Linked DNA regions of Oryctolagus cuniculus. The protein of the gene in region 3 purifies or fractionates together with the protein of the main gene of each other region. This does not show direct contact. Links are inferred from orthologs where the notes say so. Each region holds a gene or a part of one and is shown on either strand. Other genes may lie near its edges.

Region 1 (4,016 bases), on a different chromosome or scaffold from region 3:
TCTTCGATCTAGATTTCCTGCCTTTTGATCGAGAACGCGATCGACCTTTGCTCCGCGACCTGGATCTGGACACAGAAAAGCCCAATTTCTTTTAATGCCTTGCAGCACACACACGCACCCCACGAACAAGCACAGCAGCAGCCAGAAAAAAAGGACAACACAATATTTACCGGGAGCGACTTTTAGAAATACTTCCAGATCTACTGCGGCTGCTCCTGCGACTCCTACTTCGTGACCTTCTTCTAGAACGTGACCTGTAACAGAACCCACAAGGAGCCCTTAACCTCAACAATGTTTGTGCCTTATCAACAGATCAGCCACACACACACACAGAACGCATTTGCTTACCACAAAATTAAATGCACTAACAAAGCATATGGCAAAGAACCCAAGATGCATAACCAGAAGTACCAGTTACTGCTCTCCATGTTCTTCAAACAAGTTACCTAGATCTGCTTCCAGAGTAAGATCGCCTATGGCTTGTTCGTGGCTTATCTTCAATAAGCCTAATATTTCTGCCATTTATTTCTGTACCATCCAGTTTATCCAAAGCACGCTTCATGTCCGAGTAGGAGCGAAATTCAATTACACCTTCATTTGTGCGTTCTTTGTGAGCATCCGCATAGGTTACTTCACCTGCTTGGCGCATGAAATCCTAAAACAGCAACAAGACTGCTCAGGTGCAGAAATCTGAGGGAAAGTATCTATACCATACTGAGTTCTTAAAAAAATAAAGATTGCAAAAGAGTTTACTTTCAGCATGAATCTTAACCCCTTTCATTGTAGCACTTACCTTTAAATCTTGCCAACTGCACCGACTAGAAAGATTTTCTACAATTAGCCTGTACTCTGTACGAACAGGTGGTCCATATTTGTCTCTGCCAGAGGTTCTCCGACTGCTGTATCCACCACCACCACCTTTATCACACGAAGGGAACAATCAGGTGCTTGCAATGGTAAGGATGGATAACGTTTTTGAAAGTTAGTACAAACATATCAACTTTCATATACTGGAGTAGGACTTTGCTATTACACTGCTAAACCTTTGATACATTTGTGATTTGCCATAAATTAAATTAAGGGCAAGTCAAATAGACTAAATCCGACTAAACCTCTCCTACAATCTGTTAGAGAGTGACTGCTCCTTTATTCAATTTACCTCGCTAAGTTTTATTTTACAGAACATTGTAAAATATAAAACTTAACTGATTACATGCATTTCTACATTTTACAAAAATGTTTACTAGTTACACTAAGTACTTACATCACAGTGTGAGGTTTTTGGTGGTGGTTTGGCCACAAAACACGCAAGGTAACAGTCACCTAGTTCAGATTAACCAGTTTTGTCTAACCCTTGGAATCCTCACCATCACCCTGCGTCTAATGGCAAAAGGCTGCTGTCGTCATGGCTTCCGGTAAGGTCAGCCAAAGGGTCATAGGGCAAGGGTCACACAATGTATGGAAAAGCCAAGGCCAATCAGGAAAGGCAGTCATCTTAGCCTCAGTGGACACAGCCTCAGCCCCATTGGTCACTTTCAAATTGAAACATCAAGGACTTGTTAAAAAGTTTGAATTCAACATGCAACAATTTCAACATCAAACATTTAAAATAACCACCCCCACCCGTCCTCCCAATAACATGCCCCGGCAGTTCAAATGCAGCATAAAGCTTCTTTAGATTTAGTTTGTGGTAAAGTACCACGTTAGAATCGCATTTTCTTTGCCCCCACCAATTTTCCTAACTCCTAACTACAGGCTCCGCCCCTTTCCCCGCCCCCGCCCCCACCCCAACTCCCCCACTTCTAGCTAAGGCACTGACAGGTGAGCCGGGGGATTCGGTCAGTACGGCCGCCCCTCGCTCCCTCCGTGGGCAGCACCCACGTCAGTGCCAACGGGGCTCCGCACACGCCACCCCCTCCCACCGCGGCCCGCACCAAGCCCCAAGGCAAACACCCGGACCCAATCCCCGCGCTCCGGTGTCCCCCGGCTTCCCCGGGCAGGCGGGGCAGCGGCGGGGCCCGGGCGCGCCGGGACCAAACGACCCCCGGCCCCCGCGCCTGCCCGGGCTGGGAAGCCCCGCCCTCCACCCCGGTGCCCGCGTCCGCCCCCGGGGTCCCAAGGACGCGGAGCGCGCGGGGATGCGACTCACTGCGGCTTCCGTAGCTGTAGCCGTCGCGATCGCGGCGCGGGCCCCGGGCGTGCTCCACGATCACGCGCTCGCCGCAGAGCTCCTTGCCGTTCAGCTCGTAAACGGCGTCGTCGGCGTCGCGGGAGTCCTCGAACTCCACGAAGCCGTACCTGGGGGCGGCCGAGGGCCGGGCCGGCGGGGGCGTCGTTAGCCGGGGGCGCGCACGTACGCGCCCCCGCGGCCGCCCGCGCGCGCCCGCGGCGCCGCGCCGCCGCCATCTTGGGAGGCCCTGCCACGCGGCGCCGCGGCCTCAGCGGCCTGCGTTGCCGGACGGCCCCCGCCGCCGCCGCCAGGCCCGGGGCGCTGGGCGCGGACGCGGGCGCCCAGACCCGACTCACCCGTTTTTTAGGTCTACTTCGAGGAGTCGGCCATAGCCACTGAAAAAGCGCTGTATGTCCTTCTCCCGGACGTTGTAGCTCAGGCGTCCTATGTAGACGCGCGGCATGTCCGTGGCGGGCGTGGTCCCGGAGGCTGGCTGTCGAACGGCTGGCCGCAAGGCGGTAGCCGCGGTGCGGGTGCGGGGACGGCGAAAGCCCGAACACGCGCCTCACACCGCAGCGGCGGCCGAGTCCAGCCACACAATGGTGCGCGCGCGCGCCAGGGCTACGCTATATGGGCGGCCGGAGGGGGCGTGGCCCGGCGCGTGACGTCAGCGCGCAACACGCTGCCTTCCCGCTGCGAGCGCGGGGCTGGAGGGTGCCGGTGGACTCCGCAGCCCGTGAGATTGCGGTAAAAAGTGTTAGCTTGTTCGCGACCTTGATTTTCTCAAGTCTCCCTACAAAGTTTTGTGAATACAGTGTCCCGTGGTTCAGCCGCGGACTTGTCTTCGGACTTACACCTTTAAAAAACTTCCATAGGGCGATCGCCTGGGGGCTGGTGCTTGGGCGGGACGCTAAAAAAAAATTCCCCGGTTTTCATTGGTTCTCAAGGTTGTCATAATAAGACCCTTGGTTTTTGATTGGGTCCTCCAAACGAGGCTGCGGGTTCCCGCCGCCTATTGGTTCGCGCTCACTTTGGTGGGGAACGCGGTTGAGCAGCCTGTGTAGCAGAACCCGCGGGGCGCGCGAGGGGGTCGCGGTGACTCTGCCAAGGTCGCGCTGTGGGCGCCCAGCCGTGGGGGCCGCTGCCCCTCGGGGGCTCCTCCGCCCCCTTCAGCCGTTCCCCTCCCCCTCATGAAGCGCCGGCCTCTTGAGTCGCCCGAAGGTTGGGCTGTGCGTGGGAATCCCACGCTCGCTGCGGGTGCCCGAGAAGGCTGAGCAAGCCCTCCCACGGCGGAGAGCGTGTCCTAAATGCTAGTCTCTACTCCCAGGGTTGGAAAGCGCGGGAATATGCATTTGTGAGTTTATCAATAGAGATGGCATTTAGTGCTGGAGAACGAGGCGAGAACTGAAATGACATTTTTTAAAGTACTTTTTTTTTAAAAAAATATTTTATTTATTTATTTGAAAGTCAGAGTTACACAGAGAGAAGAGGTAGAGACAGAGAGAGAGGTCTTCCATCCGCTGGTTCACTCCCCAATTGGCCACAACGGACCGAACTGCGCCGATCCGAAGCCAGAAGCCAGGAGCTTCTTCCCAGTCTTCCACATGTGGCTTGGTCTCCCTTGTCGATGCAGGGGCCCAAGGACTTTCGCTGCTTTTCCAGGCACATTAGCAGGAAGCTGGATCAGATGTGGAGCAATTGGGACTGGAACCGGTGCCTGTACTGATGTGGTGCAACAGGCAACAGCTTAACTGGCTAGGGCATAGTTGTGGCCCCGACGTTTATCTTTTTTTTTTAAAGATTTTATTTATTTATTTGAGAGGTAGAGTTACAGACAGTGAGAGAG
Region 2 (4,135 bases), on a different chromosome or scaffold from region 3:
GGTCTGAGCGCCCCAGTGAGTGGCCTGGGCTTCCTATCGCCGCAGGTGTGCTAGCAAGAACTAAAATAACTCGGCCGCCCCGAAGAATGCTCCTAGGCCTTTAGTGCAAAATCCCAGGTGGGCAGCTGGGGCGCCGCAGGCTGAGCTGCCGCGTGGGCCGGACCGAGTGCCTAGGATGTGGCACCACCTCCACTTCCGACCACATGGGAGACAGCAAGGGACGCTGGAGTCCCGGGGTCCCTGGCCCTCAGCTCCCGGGGAGGCCTGCATGGAGCCCCTGGCTTCGATCCGGCCCAGCCCTGGCTGTTTTGGGCATCTGGGCAGGTCTGCCACTCTGCCTCTCCAACAGAAACAGAGCGACCCCGGGCCCCCCCAGACCTCCTCAACTTTGAACCTTCAGAGGCGACTTTTATCAAAGGTTCTGCTGGGGCAGCTGGTTACCAGAAGCCTGGGGGGCATCCGAGGCCGGCTCCGGTTGGTTCGCTAAGCCTGGCGCCCATCTGAGCCGCCGCAGGAGCACACAACGCCAAGCCCACCTTCCGAGCCCCCGCCCGGGGCGCCGGGTCCACTGCTGGGCCACGTGTGCCGCTGCCCGCCCAGCCGCCACACTGACGGCAGAGGAAGCGCGGCGGGCGGCCCAGGTCCCGCTGCCCACCCCACCATGACCAAGCCCCTCGCGGGCGCGACCTCCAAGCTGCTGGACCGCGGGGACAAACACCTGCCGCGTGGTTACGGGGGACTAACCGAGCGCTTGTGCACGGCTCACAACTCTACCCGCAGCCCTCGGGAGGCACGTGGGCCGGAGGGCGCTCCAGCGGCCAGGGAGTCTGGGGCCCCTGGCTGGCCGGCGGGCCCCCGAAAGGGCCACTCGGAACTTGGCCGAACCTCAACTTCCGGCGCCCTCGGGCTGACCCGCAGGAAACCGCCGCGACCCCTCGCTCCAGAGCCGCAAGCAGGCTCAGCGAGGAGCGCGCACCGGCGCCCTCCCGCGCACACGTCTACCGGACCCGGCTACTTTCTGGAAACCGAGACCACCGCCCCGCGTTCGCTCAGTTCGCCGCGCCACTCGCTCGCTCGCCCCGCGCCAAAAGAGCCCGTCGCATGACGCATGCGCCGGGACGACCGGCCGCGGAGGAACACTCTGCGACCCGCGCACCCCCGGGCCAATCAGCGCCGGCCTTGCACAAAGCAAATCCCGCCTCCAGGACGCGGCCGCCAGACCCCCTTCCCCTCCTTGGCCGCCTGGGCCCGCCCACTCCGGCCCAATCCCCGCCCCACGCCGCGCACAGTTAGCGGCTTGCGATTGGCTCGCGCGACGGACGCGAGCTCTGATTGGTAGAGGAGGAGTCACGAGGGCGCCGTCGTCGCCTTTCCAGAGGCGATTACTGGGCAGGCTCAGTCTTTCGCCTCAGTCTCTAGCTCTCGCTGGCAGCCCGGCGTACGTGCTCCGGCATCTTCAGTCACCCGCGGCCGCCATCGACGCCGCTCGGGTTCCTCTAGGCTCGTCTGCGCCACAGCCGCCGCCGTCGTAAGCCGCCATCATGGTGAAGCTGGCCAAGGTAAGCGCTGAGGGCGCGCGAGCGCGAGCGCCGAGGCCTGCTGCTCAGGAGCGCGCGCGGCGTCGCGGGGAGGAGGGCCTGCGCGCCGTCCCGGGCGCGTTCGAGGGCGCCATGCTGTGGGAAGTCTCGCGCGACTGGCGGGCAGTTCTCGCGTGTCTTGGCTGCTTGGCGGCGAGGTGCGGCGCGCTCCGGCAGGTGCTGAGGGCGGCGTGGAAGGCTGCGGCGCGGGGCGCGGGGCGGCGGGAGGAAGTGAGATCCAACTCGTGCGCCGCGCGCGGGCCGGGCCCCGCCTCCGGCCGCACGTGCGCCGGCTCGCGGCCCGCCACGTGGGCCCCGCCGCGTGGGCCGCGGGGTGGCCGGGGCCCGCCGGCGCGAACCCGCGGCCCTGGCCCAGCTGCCCGGGGCCCCCCGGCCGCCGCCACGTGCGCCGGCCCCGGAAGGAGGCGCCGGGGTGCGTGCACATGGTGGCCGCCGGGCACCCCCACGTGGCCGCGGCCAGGTGAGAGGGGCAGGCCGGTTGGGGTCCGAGGTGGCTTTGTTACTTTTATGCTTTTGCGACGCTGGTGCTGCCCGGAGTTCCGACGAGGGCGCTGGTGGTGTGCGTCGGAGGCTGGGGGGGGTCCTCCCTGGAAGAGTGGCCGCTGGCTACTAAGAAGGGTGCCTGGTGCTAGGGTTGAACCCAGGGGTGAATTAAGTGGTTGAGGGTAAAAAAAGGCAGATGGGTTATTTCATCACCTTGGACTTGTTTTTTAGGTTTTGTCAAGATTGACAGGGAAACTCTGATGGGCCGTACTGTTGGTCAGTTTCAGGATCGGTTATGTTTAATGCTGAAAGTGCGTTGAGGAGGGTGATGGTTGTATTTTATTGTGGGCCGTGGAATCGATGAGGGGTGTTCATGTCCTCATTGTGTGCGTTTTAGGCTGGTAAAAACCAAGGTGAGCCCAAGAAAATGGCTCCTCCTCCCAAGGAGGTAGAAGAAGATAGTGAAGACGAGGAGATGTCGGAAGATGACGAGGATGACAGCAGTGGAGAAGAGGTAACTGGGTCGCGATCGAGGAGAAATTGGGTTGCACTTACACAGTGGACAGAATGGTGTTGGGTGTCTGAAAAGGATATGAAAAGTAGTGTGTTATTCACGTGACCCGGGGTGGGGGGTGCTTAGATGGCAGGAGACCGTTGGGTGAGTACCTGAGTGTGAGCATCTGGGATCTGTGCCCTCTGCACGGCTGGAGTGAGGTTGATACACTTCTCCTGCTCAGCATAAAGGACCAGGTGGATTCTGTCCCCCCCCTGTATGTAAGGTTTGTAGCGATTGGGTGGGTTGAAGGTGCCACCTGAGCATTCACGTTCATTGCTTGCATGGAAAGTCGGTTTTTTAGAATTCAGCAAAGACTTTACTCTTAAGTGAACTATCTGATAAACTAGGAAGTTAATGAAAATAGCTTTGAATAGGAGTTAAAATGTAGGTAAATAATGGTTCTTACAGATACAGTGTTTATTTGATGTGCTGTAATTTGTAAGGGTTGCTCAGCCAATTTAAGGCTGATTTTTATCTCAGGTCCTGTCTCAGGACAAGAATCCTGTACCACTACCCACTGTATGATCCCCAGATGATTTTTAATATTCAGATTTATTTATTTGCAAAGAGAGTTATAGAGAGGCAGAGTTCTCCCATCCACTGGTTCACTCCCCAAGTGGCTGCAACGTCCAGAGCTGGACCTATCCGAAGCCAGGATCTTCTGGGTCTTCACGTGGGTGCAGGGGCCCAAGCGCCTGGGCCATCTTCTGCTTTCCAGGCCACAGCGGAGAGCAGGATGGAAGTAGAGCAGCTGGGGCTTGAATTGGCTCCCATATGGGCTGCCGGCAGCAGTTTTATGTGCTACGCCACAGCACTTTACTTACTGTTGAACCTAACATGTTAACATGGAACATATGCAGTCTTGAACCAGAGGCAGTGCCAGAATCCACCACTGGGACCAGGGCTGCCTTTCGGATGTAGCAGAACTAACTGTTGGTGTTTGCTGTTTAGATAGTCATCCCACAGAAGAAAGGCAAGAAAGCTGCTGCGGCTCCAGCCAAGAAGGCGGTGGCTTCCCCGACAAAAAAGCCTGCGGCTGCCACTCCTGCCAAGAAAGCAGTTGTCACTCCAGGTAAAAAGGGAGCCGCCACCACGCCAGCGAAGAAGGCCGCTACCCCAGCCAAAGCGGTGGTGGCGTCGGGCAAGAAGGGGGCCGCGCTGGGCAAAGCAGTGGTAGCGGCCTCGGGAAAGAAGGGAGCGGTCCTCCCCGCCAAGGGGGCCAAGAATGGTAAGAACGCCAAGAAGGAAGACAGCGACGACGAGGAGGAGGAGGAGGACAGCGAGGAGGACGACGACGACGAGGATGAAGATGACGAGGAGGACGAGGAGGATGAGTTTGAGCCGGCGGTCATGAAGGCAGCAGCGGTGGCCCCCGCCTCCGAGGATGAGGACGAGGAGGACGAGGATGAAGACGACGATGAGGACGAGGACGACGACGAGGAGGACGAGGAAGACGGTAAGGAAGTCATGGTGGCTCCTGGCTCTGGGAGGTTTCCAC
Region 3 (3,062 bases):
GCAGAACAGGAAGTCTGGGCCGGGCAGCCTCGACGTGCAGGGCCTGGCCCGGCAGAAGAGCGCCATCTTGAAGAAGCGGAGGAAAAGGAGGATGTCGGACCTGCTGGGGCCCGAAGGCAGGCCGACCTCGGCTCTGGTAAGGTGGGGGGGTGGGCTGCAGCGTCGGCGGGGGAGGGGCTGGCCAGTCAGACACGGGGTTTGTCGCAGCCTTTCCCCGCCAGGAGGTGACGGGCGCAGGTCTCGTGGCCAAGCACTTCCACACTCGGGAAGGGGTCGCCGCTGAGCTGGGAAAAGCCCTGTGTGCAGGCTGACAGTGCCCCCGTCTCCTGCCGTCTCCTGCCGGTGCAGGAGGGAGCCCCGCCCCTTGTGCTGGGTTCTGCGGAGCCAGGCAGGGCCAGGCGCTGGCCGTGTCCTCCACACCATGGCCTGCAGGTGGCAGCGACCCCCAGCCACCGAGCCAGACCAGCTCCTCGGGACCCTCGTCCAGCGCCAATGCTCGCGCACGGCTCCGCGGTGGCCGTGACCGTGGGCCCAGCGCCGAGTGGGGAGTGGGTGACAGTGTGGTCCTTGGGACCTGGGGCGGGGAAGGCAGAGGAAGACGGGTACGCTGAGACCTTCCCTCCATCTACCTGCACGGGGCCTCCCGGGTGCTCCCGGCAGGAGCGTCCTGTCCCTGTGGCTGGTGGCAGCAGGGGTGGCACCGGGCCCCAGGGCTGCCCTTCCCCGGGCGCAGGCACACCAGGAACCTGCCGAAACCACCCACGCGGCGCTGGCTGCGCGGCCTCTTAGCGCCTCAGATCCAGAACCACTGCAGGTGCCCCACTGCCCAGCGGGGACTGGGGTGGGCAGGTGGGAAAACAGGAGAGTTGAGCGCACAGGCCTGCGCAGGGAGGAGGAGCGAGGGTCCCCGGACGAGGGTCGCCGGACGATTGACACCCTATGGGTGCAGCGTGAGTGGGGCTCTGACAGAGGGAGCCGGGGCCACTCCGCGCTGCCCGGGGCGCTGTCCCGGTTTCACTTCCTGTGCACAGCCTGGCAGGAGGCCCAGCGATGCCATCCCTGCCTGTGCCTCTCGCCCCTAGGGAGGCCGCGGGCCCCTCAGCCCCGTGAAGAAGCTGCTGAGGACCGAGAGCGACTTTGTGAAGTTCGACACGTCCCTCTCGCCAAAGCCCCTGTTCTTCAGGAAAGCAAAGAGCAGCCCCACGACCTGCCCGCCACGTCCTGCCGTCCAGGTACGGGCCCCGCGGCCGTCGGAGCCCTGCACTCAGGCCCCAGCTCCCGCCTGAGACAGGTGCCTGTTCTAGGGCCCGGTTGCTTCTGGAGTGGTCAGCCGCCTGGCGCCGTGGGGAGCCACCGTGTAGCCACTCACCCCGTCCTGCCTCAGCCCCAGGGCTCTCACTGGCAGGGCCTGCTCACTGCCGCGCATCTGCTGTCAGGGCACAGGTGGAGAACTGGGAGTGCGGCTGCACCAGAGGCCCAGGGTTCTCGGGGGCCGGGGTGCTGTGACGCCCAGGGGACCCACTTCTAGGCGCATCGCTGTCCAGGTAGCCCAGTCTTGCACGTGAACAGCAGGCAGTTTCGCACCTGTTGCCCCCTGAAGTTCAAGTCCACCAGGGGTGTGGTCTCGGCAGCGCCGTGCAGCCTGCAGCTTGGAGTGGGGACCCTGGTCATGGCTGGTGCCGAGCGTCTCCTGTCGGCCGGGCTGTCATCGACGTCCTGGCTGGGGTTTGCTTCCTTCAGAACACGCTGGGTGGCCTGCGCAGCCTGACAGACCCGAGCGCTGGGACGTGTAGTCGAGGCTGCACCCGTGTGCCGGGGGCCTCCCCGCTGGGCAGGGTCTCCAGCGAGAGCCGGCAGCCCGGTCAGTGTCGCCCCCTCGTGCTGTTTCTTCCCCAGCTGAACAGGACGCCGTCCAGCGCCAAGAGGGTCACCTTCGGGCTGAGCAGAAACACGACCGCAGGCAAGTCGGGGAGGCTGGGAGCCGGTGGGCATGGGGTCAGGAGCCGTCCCGGGGGCCCGTGGGCGTGGGCCTCCCGAGAGCCGGTTTCCCGGGCAGCTCCCCAGCTGCTTGGAGCTGGGCCCCCGAGAGGCCGTCGGGGCCCAGCAGTCCCCAGCCCGGCTGCCTCTGCTGAGGCTCGGGCCCCCGTGCGTGGTGTGCAGAGGAGAGGCCTGCCGGGCACTCCCGCCTCGTGCAGAACTGGGGACAGGCTCCGCCTCGGCCCTGGCCGGGGGGCTGGGGGCTGGGGGCTGCGGCCCGGGGTCGTCCCCTCACCTCGGGCCTTCCGTTCCCTTGCAGAGTTCAAGAAGACGGACAAGAGCATCTTAGTCAGTCCCACGGGCCCCTCCCGCGTGGCCTTCAACCCTGAGCAGAGACCCCTCCACGGAGTGCTGAAGACGCCCACGAGCTCGCCGGCCGGCACGCCCCTGGTGGCCAAGAAGCCGCTGGCTGCCACCCCAAAGAAGAGGCCGACGGCCATGGATTTCTTCTGAGGCGCGGGGGCCCCTTTTGGAAGACTGCTTTTGTACAGAGTATTCTATAAATTATAACTTTCTAAATGCCCGGCCTTTTCTATTAAAATTCCCGTGTGCGCGGGGTTCTGAATGTCGCCTGCTTCCCGCCAGGCTAGGGGAGCCCCCAGGGCTCTGGGCAGCTCTGAGCCGACGTTGGCGCGGGTGAGGATGGCCGGCGTCTCCCCACCAGGCAGCCGGGCACCGCGGCCCCCGCCCAGCCCCGCGTGTTCTTACGTGGAGCACACTCCTCACCCAGGCCAGTGCTTCCGGTCCTCTCTGTGCACGTGTGTGAGCCGAGGGCCCAGGTGGCTGCGTCCCCAGAAGCAGCGTCCCTGTCTCGGGGTGAGCCCCGCTGAGGGGCAGCGTCAGCGTCTGGACCCAGGCTCTCGGAAGCCAGGAAGTGGGCGCTGAAGCACCTGCCTGTGTCTGCGCACAGTTGCCCTGGCGAGCCACGGTTTTTATGTGGTCTTCAGGGTGTCCCCAGCAGCTGGGCGGGGACACAGGGCTGAGGGGGGTCCTCAGGGAGTCCAACAGGGCTGGGGCGGGGACAC
Region 4 (4,295 bases), on a different chromosome or scaffold from region 3:
AAGGAGAGGAGTAGGACCCACCCAAGCACACTATTGACCCATAGCAAGACTTTTGAAATGTAAATGTTGGTTTGTTTCCAAGGCCTGTATCCTTGTGCCATCACACAAATATTCCCACTTTCAAAAAATTCCCATTTTCTTTGACCACTGGCACACAGATAGGCTAATGTCTACCAAGCTACGTTAATAAAGTTGGAGGACACTGGATAAAATGTGATCTTACTTAAACAATAAAAGAAGTATTTCTGAGTGTATGTACATATATTCCTAAGTACCCATCCTTTTACTGTGGAAGTCCATTTCTTAGGCTATATTCTATTAAACTACTTTCAGATATCCATAAAAATATAGGTACAAAGATGTTTACCTAAATAATATTTTTAGTAAAATTAGGTAGAAAATATGCCTATCAATGGAGGAACAAATAAATTATAACATACCTACATTATACTACCATAGACAAACATCTATCCAAAACATTTTTTTAAAAGTTTACTTATTTACTTGAAAGTCAGAATTACAGAGAGGGAGAGGCAGAGAGAGAGAGAGAGAGAGAGAGAGAGAGAGGTCGTCCATCCGCTGGTTCACTCCCCAAATGGCTGCAATGGTCGGTGTGGACCAGGCAAAGCCAGGAGCCAGGAGCTTCTTCCCCGTCTCCCACGTGGGTGCGGGGGCCCAAGGACTTGGGACATTAGGCCATTACCAGGGAGCTGGATGAAGTGGAGCAGCCGGGACTCAAACCTCAAACCGGCGCCACCATCACAGTACTTCCTAATTCGATGTATTGAGGTAAAAAAAAAAAAAAAAAAAAAAAAAAAAAAAAAAATTCCTTAAGAAGCCCAGCGCTCAGGGTCTGTGAGGTCTTACGTGTTTGTCAAGTAGTTTAAAATGCTAATTCCCAGGCTGCCTTCCAAAGATTCGAATTAAGGTTCCTGCATTTAAATCGAGTCAAACGTTTCCTTTCGCCGGGAATGTTAAAGGTTAGGAAGTGCACATCCCCAGAGGCTGCACCGGCGGAGGCGGCTGACTCGGTCCCCGTGTGGCCCCAAGTTGCCATAAAAATGAGGACTTTGTTGATTTTTCCTCAGAAAGGGCGGATTTATAAGAACACAGAGTCCTGTAAGTCTGGCCAATAAAGAATAAAAACCGTCGTCCACTCGTTCTCCCGCTCTGGCACCTGAGACTAGCTGTGGGGAAGCCATTAGCTCCGAGCCCAGGCTTTCGGGCAGGTCAAAATCCCGCGCTGATTATGCCATCTTGGAGGCTTGCGGGAGACGAGGGGATGGAGGAAGGAGAATGGAGCTGCTTTCTGGCTTATTCCCGACTGCCTGAGCCTCCGCATCCAGCACAGCGAAGGCCTGCTGTCGCCATCTTGCAGGGTGGGCTGCGCAGGCTCTTGGCGCGAAGCCGACGCGCTGGAACCGGAGAGGACGTGGAACCGCCGGAGGTGGGGAGCGCGCGCCGCAAGGGGAAAGCGCGCCTGCGCATCGGCGACGGCGGCAGAGGGGTGGGGCAGGGTTTCGAGTGCGCGTGCCCGGTGTGAGCCCGCGAAGTACCTGGAAGAGGTGGGGGGAGAGGTAGAGAGGAGTGTGTTGAAGAGCGCTTGCGCAGCAGCGCGACCGTACTGCGAGAAGGGGCTGAAGAGCACGCGCGCGGAGGCGGGACTTGGAAAGCTATCGCGAGATTTCTGGTGGCTATATATACTAGCGGGGAGCCCGCGTCCTTTCCCTGGCGTGATTCCGTCCTGCGCGGCTGTTCTTTGCAGCAGTGGGCGTCTAATCTCCGTCCGCTTTCTCTCCTACCCAAGTTCGTCCCTCCGCCTCATGGAAGATTCGATGGACATGGACATGAGCCCCCTGAGGCCCCAGAACTATCTTTTCGGTAACTATTGTGGGGGTTGAAGCGAGGCCGAGCAGGGCCTGGTGGTGGCTTTAAGGGTTGGGGGGAGGGGGCGGCGGGAGTCTGACTGAGGCCCGGGCTGTTGGAAAAAGGCCGGCAGACTGGAGGCCGGAGAGAATAGGGAGCAGACCGCAGGCGTCCTGGTGCTGAGCGGGGTGGGAGCTGGGAGCAGAGAGTGAGCCGTGTGAAAGGGGTGGGGAGGAGCGGCGGCCCCCGGCCTGGGGCGTGAGCGGGCCATGGCCCAAGGCCGTCTGAAGGTTCGGCGTTGCCTGGGCTGCGAAGTAGGATTCCAGGCGTGATTTTTTGTCCCGTAGTGTGTAAGTCGGCTGGCTTGTTGCTAGGCCGTGTTACAGGAGGTTGGGGGGGGTGCATGGAGGGGCGTGGAAGTCCCTGCTGGAGGAGGAGGTGGGTGCAGCCTGGCGTCCTCATCCAGAGTTCCGGGCCCGGAGACAGCTCGGGTGCCTCAGCCAGTGAACCGGGGAGGGGATGTGCGGCGGGGCTTGAGGAGGCCGCGACCGCCCGAAGCACGTGGTTGCCACGTGGTTGGGGGAAGGGAGGGGGTGTGGGCTGTACATCCGGGGCTCTGGCATCTTGTCACCCACCCACCCCCCGCCCCAGCCAGGGGTCCTGTGGCTGCTTTGAGACTGTTGGGCGGGAAGTGATAGGTGTAGTGGCGGATTGAACTAGGATTCTGGAAGTCTTTGTCCAGCGTCTGCAGCATCAACTGTACCGTAACTGGCCTTTTTAGAGTCCTCTTTCTGCCTCAGCTGGTAGACGGACCTAAACCACAATACAGGTCTGATGCTCAGAGAAGTAATTAGGTTAAGGTTGCGCTTAAAAACCAGATTTAAACAAAATCCTTGATTGCAGAGCCAGCGCTTCATAAGTGAGGCTTATTTTTTTTCCAGGAAGGGTGTAGCGGAGGTAGTCCAGCATGGATTTTGTTATGTTCACCAACGTTCTCGGGTTGTAACCAGAGATTGGGAACCACAGCGCCCCCGTCCCCCGCGAACTCACACTACTATGTATGCATAGTTTTAAGGAATTACAGTAGAACTTAATTCTGGGAACCCTTTGTTGGTTAGACATGGAAATAGATGCTAATCCTACCCCTAGTTTACAAACCATGTTGAGGTTTGTTAGCACTAGCATGCTTAAGTATCTATTGTGAATGGGAGTGAAGTGTAACCACGTAAATTTTTATTCTGGCAATAATTAAAACAGTTTCCCGATGGAGTGGGAGTAGATAATGTGCACGGTAGTGCACTTTAGGACTTAATTCTTAGCCATTTTTAGAGGTTTCTGGTGATTTTATAAACAATAATTCTTTTTTTTGGCCCTTTATATTGGAAGTGTCCTTGATTGTGTCTGTTGCCTCTATTTCTAATGTGCATCACTTTGGAATATTGACCCTTACAAGTTGATTCTTTTATGTTGGTACTTTTCTCTGTAGATGAAAGCTGTTCATCTGAGAAACCATTCTCATTGCTAATTTTCCACTATTGGGAGTTTAGATAGATAATTCCAGTTTTTTAAATGGTTGGGAATTAACTATTATATATTAGGCTTCATTATTGATATGTCTGCAGAAGTAGTAGTGCTTGTCTCAGTGTATTGAAAAATACTGTAATGAAAATGCAACTAATACAGACTTGTAAGGACCTTAAATGATTTTTAAAAATGAGTGTTGAGGAAACCAGAAAGAGACCATTCTTCCTACTCTGTGGTAGCTAAAGTAGAGGAAAACTACTTAAAAGGTTAGCTTTGTTAATTTTCTGCTTGTTAGAATTGCTTTTTTCTTTTACAGGTTGTGAACTAAAGGCTGACAAAGATTATCACTTTAAAGTGGACAATGATGAAAATGAGCACCAGTTATCTTTAAGAACGGTACTTAAGCTTTTAAAATAAACATTTCTTGATTTCAGCAATTTAATTGTCCCCTATTTCTCTGCTTATAAGAGTTTTTATGATTGGATATTGTATATACCTCATCAATAAACTTGATTAAAAAGCTGGGCATGTTCACTGCTACCTGGTAATCTGGTAAAGTCAAGTCACCGTTTTATTATCTTGCTTCATTTGAATCATGAAAGATCTCTAGGGTGTCTGCCAGACGAACCTACTCAGCTTTGTAGTGGGTGTTTAATAGGTGTTCTGTATAATATGTGTGCATTTTTAAGTATTTCTTCAAGTTTACTGAACATGAGAAATTGGTTTGCCAATCTTACTAAACTTGAAGGTAGTGTTGGCACAAGTTGGAAATAATGATAAAAGTCATATTTGGTATTTTTAAACACAGATTTCCGAGGCAGGATTGTAAAACAGTTGGAAATTAAAGTTTACAAACTGTTCACAGGTCAGTTTAGGCGCTGGTGCCAAGGATGAACTGCACATTG
Region 5 (3,964 bases), on a different chromosome or scaffold from region 3:
TTAAAAGTGATGAAAAATGTGCAGGAAAAACTAATCTCATGAAATACAGAAATAAAACTTCCAGCGTTTATTTGAAAGATTTACAGAGAAGGGGAGACAGAGATCCTCCATCAGCTGGTTTACTCCCCAAATGGCCACAACAGCCAACGCCGGGAGCCAGGAGCTTCTTGTGGGTCTCCCATGTGGGTGGCAGGGGCCCAAGGACTTGGGCCATTCTCTTTTGCTTTCCTAGGCCATTATCAGGGAGCTAGATCAGAAGTGGAGCAGGTGGGACTCCAACAGGCACGCATATGAGATGCCAGCCTCAGGGGCAATGGGCTTTTCCCACCATGCCACGATGCTGGCCTGACCTATGAGTTTGAAGAGCTCTCATTTATTGTACTCAATGTGCCAGGCCCTGCCAAACCATTCACTGTCTAATTTTCTCAGTTTATTTTGTTAACGGTTTTGGTACCCCGTTTCATACATGGAAACTCAAAATAGTGGCCAAGGCAGGTCTTCATAGATAGGATTCCAACCCATTTTGTAAAATAAATTGTTTCCCAGTGCATTGGACCACTGGTTCTGTAGGAAAAGCTTAACAACAGTGTCATTGATCATTTAATTGGCCATTTTCCCCTCAACTTCCTGAAGTACTATGGTGTCCAAACCACTCACGATGAAGAGCCCCTGTCAACTTCCATCAGAGATGTACATGGCTTGGGTGCCAAGGTCGGTTTAGGTACCTCTTTGTGCCTTCAAAACAACTGAGGCCTCTCTCTCCCACCAAGCTTCTGGAAGATGAGACTTGTGGGCTGTCTGCATGCCGCTTTTCCCACCGACTTGGGGGAATGCTCTAGATGTTTGTTGCCGGCACACATGCATGAAAGACCCGACTGAACTCTGGCTCTTACCCAGGCTCGTGAGTTTGGCGTCAATTATAAAAGTTTCCACAAAATGATTAAGGACGCAAATCCCACGTGTTTGTAGTAAAAATACCTTGTAAGCTTGAGCAACCTGATAGAAGGCACTGAAGAGGGGACTGGCGCTGTGGCTCAGCGGGTTAATGCCCTGGCCTGAAGCACTGGCATCCCATATGGGTGCCGGTTCTAGTCCCGGTTGCTCCTCTTCCGATCCAGCTCTCTGCTATGGCCTGGGAAAGAGGTGGAGGATAATCTAGGTCCTTGGGCCCCTGCACCTGCGTGGGAGACCTGGAAGAAGCCCCTGGATCCTGGCTTCCGATCGGCACAGCTCCGGCCGTTGCAGACATCTGGGGAATGAACCAGCGGATGGAAGACCTCTCTCTCTCTCTCTCTCTCTCTCTGCCTCTTCTCTCTGTGTAACTCTGACTTTCAAATACATAAAAAAGTAGGCAATGAAGAAGCGCCACTCAAAAGCAATCAGTCACAAGTCATCCATTATCAGGTGTGGCTGGCGAGAATCCGGCCAGTGTTTCAGAATGCAATGCTAACCTTAGTGGTTCTCCAGTTCTATCCTTTTGTAGGTGCCGTCTGGGCAAGCGCCGAAAGCGGTCGCTTCGCTAAGCCCTGCCACTTTCAGGCCAGGAACTACCCCAGCACCCGCCTCCTTCCTTGCGCTTCCTGCTTCCGCCGGAAATGCTTTGCCGCAGGAAGTGACGCGAGTTGGGGGGGCCAAAGGGGAAGTACTATCTTTTCCTCTCCACGCGGTTGAGGGCACCGGACGGCCTGCGCGGCGGGTGCTGAGTGATGCCGGGCAAACTCCGTAGCGACGCCAGTTTGGAATCAGCCACGACCATGGGAAAAGTGGAGAAGACGCGAAAGCAAAATGAGAAGGTGATACCGAGGGGCCCGGGTGCTGGCGAGGGGCGGGAGTGCGAGCGCGTGGCGCGAGTCGAGATCCGGCAGAGCCGCGGAACGCGCGTTGGTCCCCGCCAGCGGCGCCCAGGAGGGGTGCTCCCCCCGGGTTGGGAGGCGCGTGGCCCGCGGGCCGGAGCCGGCTGTGCCGCGCGCCGGCCCCTTGCTCCCGTCTTTGACGCATCCGTGCGTCCCGGGGGCGCTGGCCGTGAGGCCGCCGCAGAGCTGGACGGGACCGGCGTCCCACGTGGCCCCGGGAACTGGGATCACAGGTTCCGGCTTGTCCTCTCACTGGACTCCGAAGTCCAGGTGGGGACCGTAGCAGTGGACCAGACTAGAGAGGTCTTGTGGCCATCTGCGCACGTGCGTGGTGTCTGCAGTGGGTGTTTTTTTTTTTTAAAGCCTTAGCTGGGGAAGTACAGTTTGCTTTCAGGTAAGCAGCGCTTAGAAGATGAGGTAATTAAAGCCTTCTAAATTTATTGGCCACATCTCCCATGGAAAAACAAACACATGGACTAGTGCTAATTGAATATCGCTTTTTTTGTCCTTGTTTTTGTTCTACATAGGGCAGCAGTGTGCATTAATTTTAAATTCCCCGGGTCGTCGTCGTCTGCTTCTTTGCTGTTATTGGAGGTCCTGGTTTAAGTTTCTGCATCAGTCAGTGTGTTCCTCTGTGGGATAGTCAGAGTAGGAGCAACCATCTGGACTTACAGATAGGAAATTACCTCTTAATTTTTGAAACTAAGGGATGAAAAACCGAAGTCCAGGGGGTCATGTGGTGGACGGGTTACCCCTCGTGCTTGCTTTGAGTCCACAGGTCGGATCGGAAGTTTTAGGGAGACACATTGGTTAGCGCAGTAGTCTCCATCCTGCTGGAATTGGCCGAGGTGCTGCTAGAGAGTTTGTAGGGTGGCTGCACCTGTCCAGTTGTTAAAAGTTTTCAGTAATGTGAAAAGATGGAGAGAATCAGAAATTTCAGGGAAGAGCTGTAGTCACCTGATTTGGTTTTTGAGATTTTATCTTTTCCGTGTACTTGTAACTTGCGCATTTATTTTGTTTTACATAAGGGGATGATGGGTTGTGAGTTTATGTGATTATGTTTGAAACAGTGTCTTTATGTAAGTTCATTTGCCATTGTGAGAGATACACAAGGTGCAAATGGTGTGAGTTCCTGTTTTGTCTGTACAAAAATTTTAACAGGAAGAAAGAAAATCTATTTAACACCCTCCATCTGTGTACATATATAGCATTATTGCTTTCAGAATTGGAACTGTACTTGATCACTTTTTTATAGTATTTAGTTTAGAGCCTGTTGGAGCATCCCTTGAGCCACTATGAGTCATTCCCTTAATCATATCTGGTTTTACAATTGTCAGACAAAGTTCGACCAATATGAACAGTTACTAAGAGACACCCTTGATCTCAAGCTAATGAAACTTGATAAACAAGGGGCTTCAAAAGTATATGGAAAATACAGGTAACAAAATAACTACAGGATTTCCAAATTTTTTGCACCAAAATATACTTTTTCATGAACTTTTTATCTCCATCTTAGCTAAGACACAGTACTAAAAAAGCATACTGTTTGATTTGTATCTGTCACAGATAAAGTACAACTGTTGAAATGCCCCTGAATTGTGTTATTTATCATTGAAAGCAATCCTGAAATAATCCATATTTGATGGACTGTGCAAACGTTTATCTGCATTGTTCAGTGTTTGCATTTTCATTATCTTTTTAGAAAGATAAAAAACAGAAGCCAAAATCTAATAAAATTGAAGAATCAGCAGAAGAAAAGGAAGAAATGGTTTCCCCTAAAGCTAAAAAAGCTAAGAAGAAAGAGCCATCTGAGGTTGACTTGAATCCTCCTAAGTCCAAAAAGGAGAAAAAACAAGAGGAACCATCTCAAGATGAAGTTGTTTCTCCTAAAGCCAAAAGTAAGAAAAAGGAGAACGTTGAAAAGAAAACTGCTTCTTCTAAAACCAAAAAAGTAATAAAAAGTGAAGAGCCGTCAGAAGAAATAGGCGCTCCTAAGCCCAAGAAGATGAAGAAAGAAAAGGAAGTGAATGGAGAAATTGGAGAGAAGAGTCCCAAGATGAAGAATGGCCTCCCGCACTCCGAACCTGACTCGAATGCCGATGGAGCTGCCA

Evidence for each region. Proteins that work in one complex are often made in the same cells at the same time.
Region 1: the proteins of RRP1B (region 3) and SRSF6 purify together in Homo sapiens (affinity purification with mass spectrometry; 3 studies listed by BioGRID and IntAct, with this or other methods). This does not show direct contact. The link is inferred for Oryctolagus cuniculus from reciprocal best matches to the Homo sapiens genes RRP1B and SRSF6.
Region 2: the proteins of RRP1B (region 3) and NCL purify together in Homo sapiens (affinity purification with mass spectrometry; 3 studies listed by BioGRID and IntAct, with this or other methods). This does not show direct contact. The link is inferred for Oryctolagus cuniculus from reciprocal best matches to the Homo sapiens genes RRP1B and NCL.
Region 4: the proteins of RRP1B (region 3) and NPM1 purify together in Homo sapiens (co-immunoprecipitation; 3 studies listed by BioGRID and IntAct, with this or other methods). This does not show direct contact. The link is inferred for Oryctolagus cuniculus from reciprocal best matches to the Homo sapiens genes RRP1B and NPM1.
Region 5: the proteins of RRP1B (region 3) and DDX21 purify together in Homo sapiens (affinity purification with mass spectrometry; 3 studies listed by BioGRID and IntAct, with this or other methods). This does not show direct contact. The link is inferred for Oryctolagus cuniculus from reciprocal best matches to the Homo sapiens genes RRP1B and DDX21.

The regions. Positions count from the first base shown.
Region 1 is NC_091442.1:15,437,478-15,441,493, forward strand, and holds the start of SRSF6 (serine/arginine-rich splicing factor 6), read right to left. Parts: upstream 2,806-4,016; 5' UTR 2,634-2,805; coding exon 2,527-2,633; intron 2,299-2,526; coding exon 2,150-2,298; intron 919-2,149; coding exon 794-918; intron 656-793; coding exon 447-655; intron 255-446; coding exon 171-254; intron 66-170; coding exon 1-65. UniProt on the Homo sapiens protein: Plays a role in constitutive splicing and modulates the selection of alternative splice sites. Plays a role in the alternative splicing of MAPT/Tau exon 10. Binds to alternative exons of TNC pre-mRNA and promotes the expression of alternatively spliced TNC.
Region 2 is NC_091434.1:7,817,125-7,821,259, forward strand, and holds the start of NCL (nucleolin), read left to right. Parts: upstream 1-1,330; 5' UTR 1,331-1,541; coding exon 1,542-1,559; intron 1,560-2,478; coding exon 2,479-2,595; intron 2,596-3,588; coding exon 3,589-4,093; intron 4,094-4,135. UniProt on the Homo sapiens protein: Nucleolin is the major nucleolar protein of growing eukaryotic cells. It is found associated with intranucleolar chromatin and pre-ribosomal particles. It induces chromatin decondensation by binding to histone H1.
Region 3 is NC_091435.1:2,443,879-2,446,940, reverse strand, and holds the end of RRP1B (ribosomal RNA processing protein 1 homolog B), read left to right. Parts: coding exon 1-136; intron 137-1,082; coding exon 1,083-1,232; intron 1,233-1,896; coding exon 1,897-1,960; intron 1,961-2,296; coding exon 2,297-2,490; 3' UTR 2,491-2,556; downstream 2,557-3,062. UniProt on the Homo sapiens protein: Positively regulates DNA damage-induced apoptosis by acting as a transcriptional coactivator of proapoptotic target genes of the transcriptional activator E2F1.
Region 4 is NC_091437.1:58,113,508-58,117,802, forward strand, and holds the start of NPM1 (nucleophosmin), read left to right. Parts: upstream 1-1,490; 5' UTR 1,491-1,823; coding exon 1,824-1,881; intron 1,882-3,706; coding exon 3,707-3,786; intron 3,787-4,255; coding exon 4,256-4,295. UniProt on the Homo sapiens protein: Involved in diverse cellular processes such as ribosome biogenesis, centrosome duplication, protein chaperoning, histone assembly, cell proliferation, and regulation of tumor suppressors p53/TP53 and ARF.
Region 5 is NC_091446.1:60,748,936-60,752,899, forward strand, and holds the start of DDX21 (nucleolar RNA helicase 2), read left to right. Parts: upstream 1-1,159; 5' UTR 1,160-1,706; coding exon 1,707-1,793; intron 1,794-3,555; coding exon 3,556-3,964.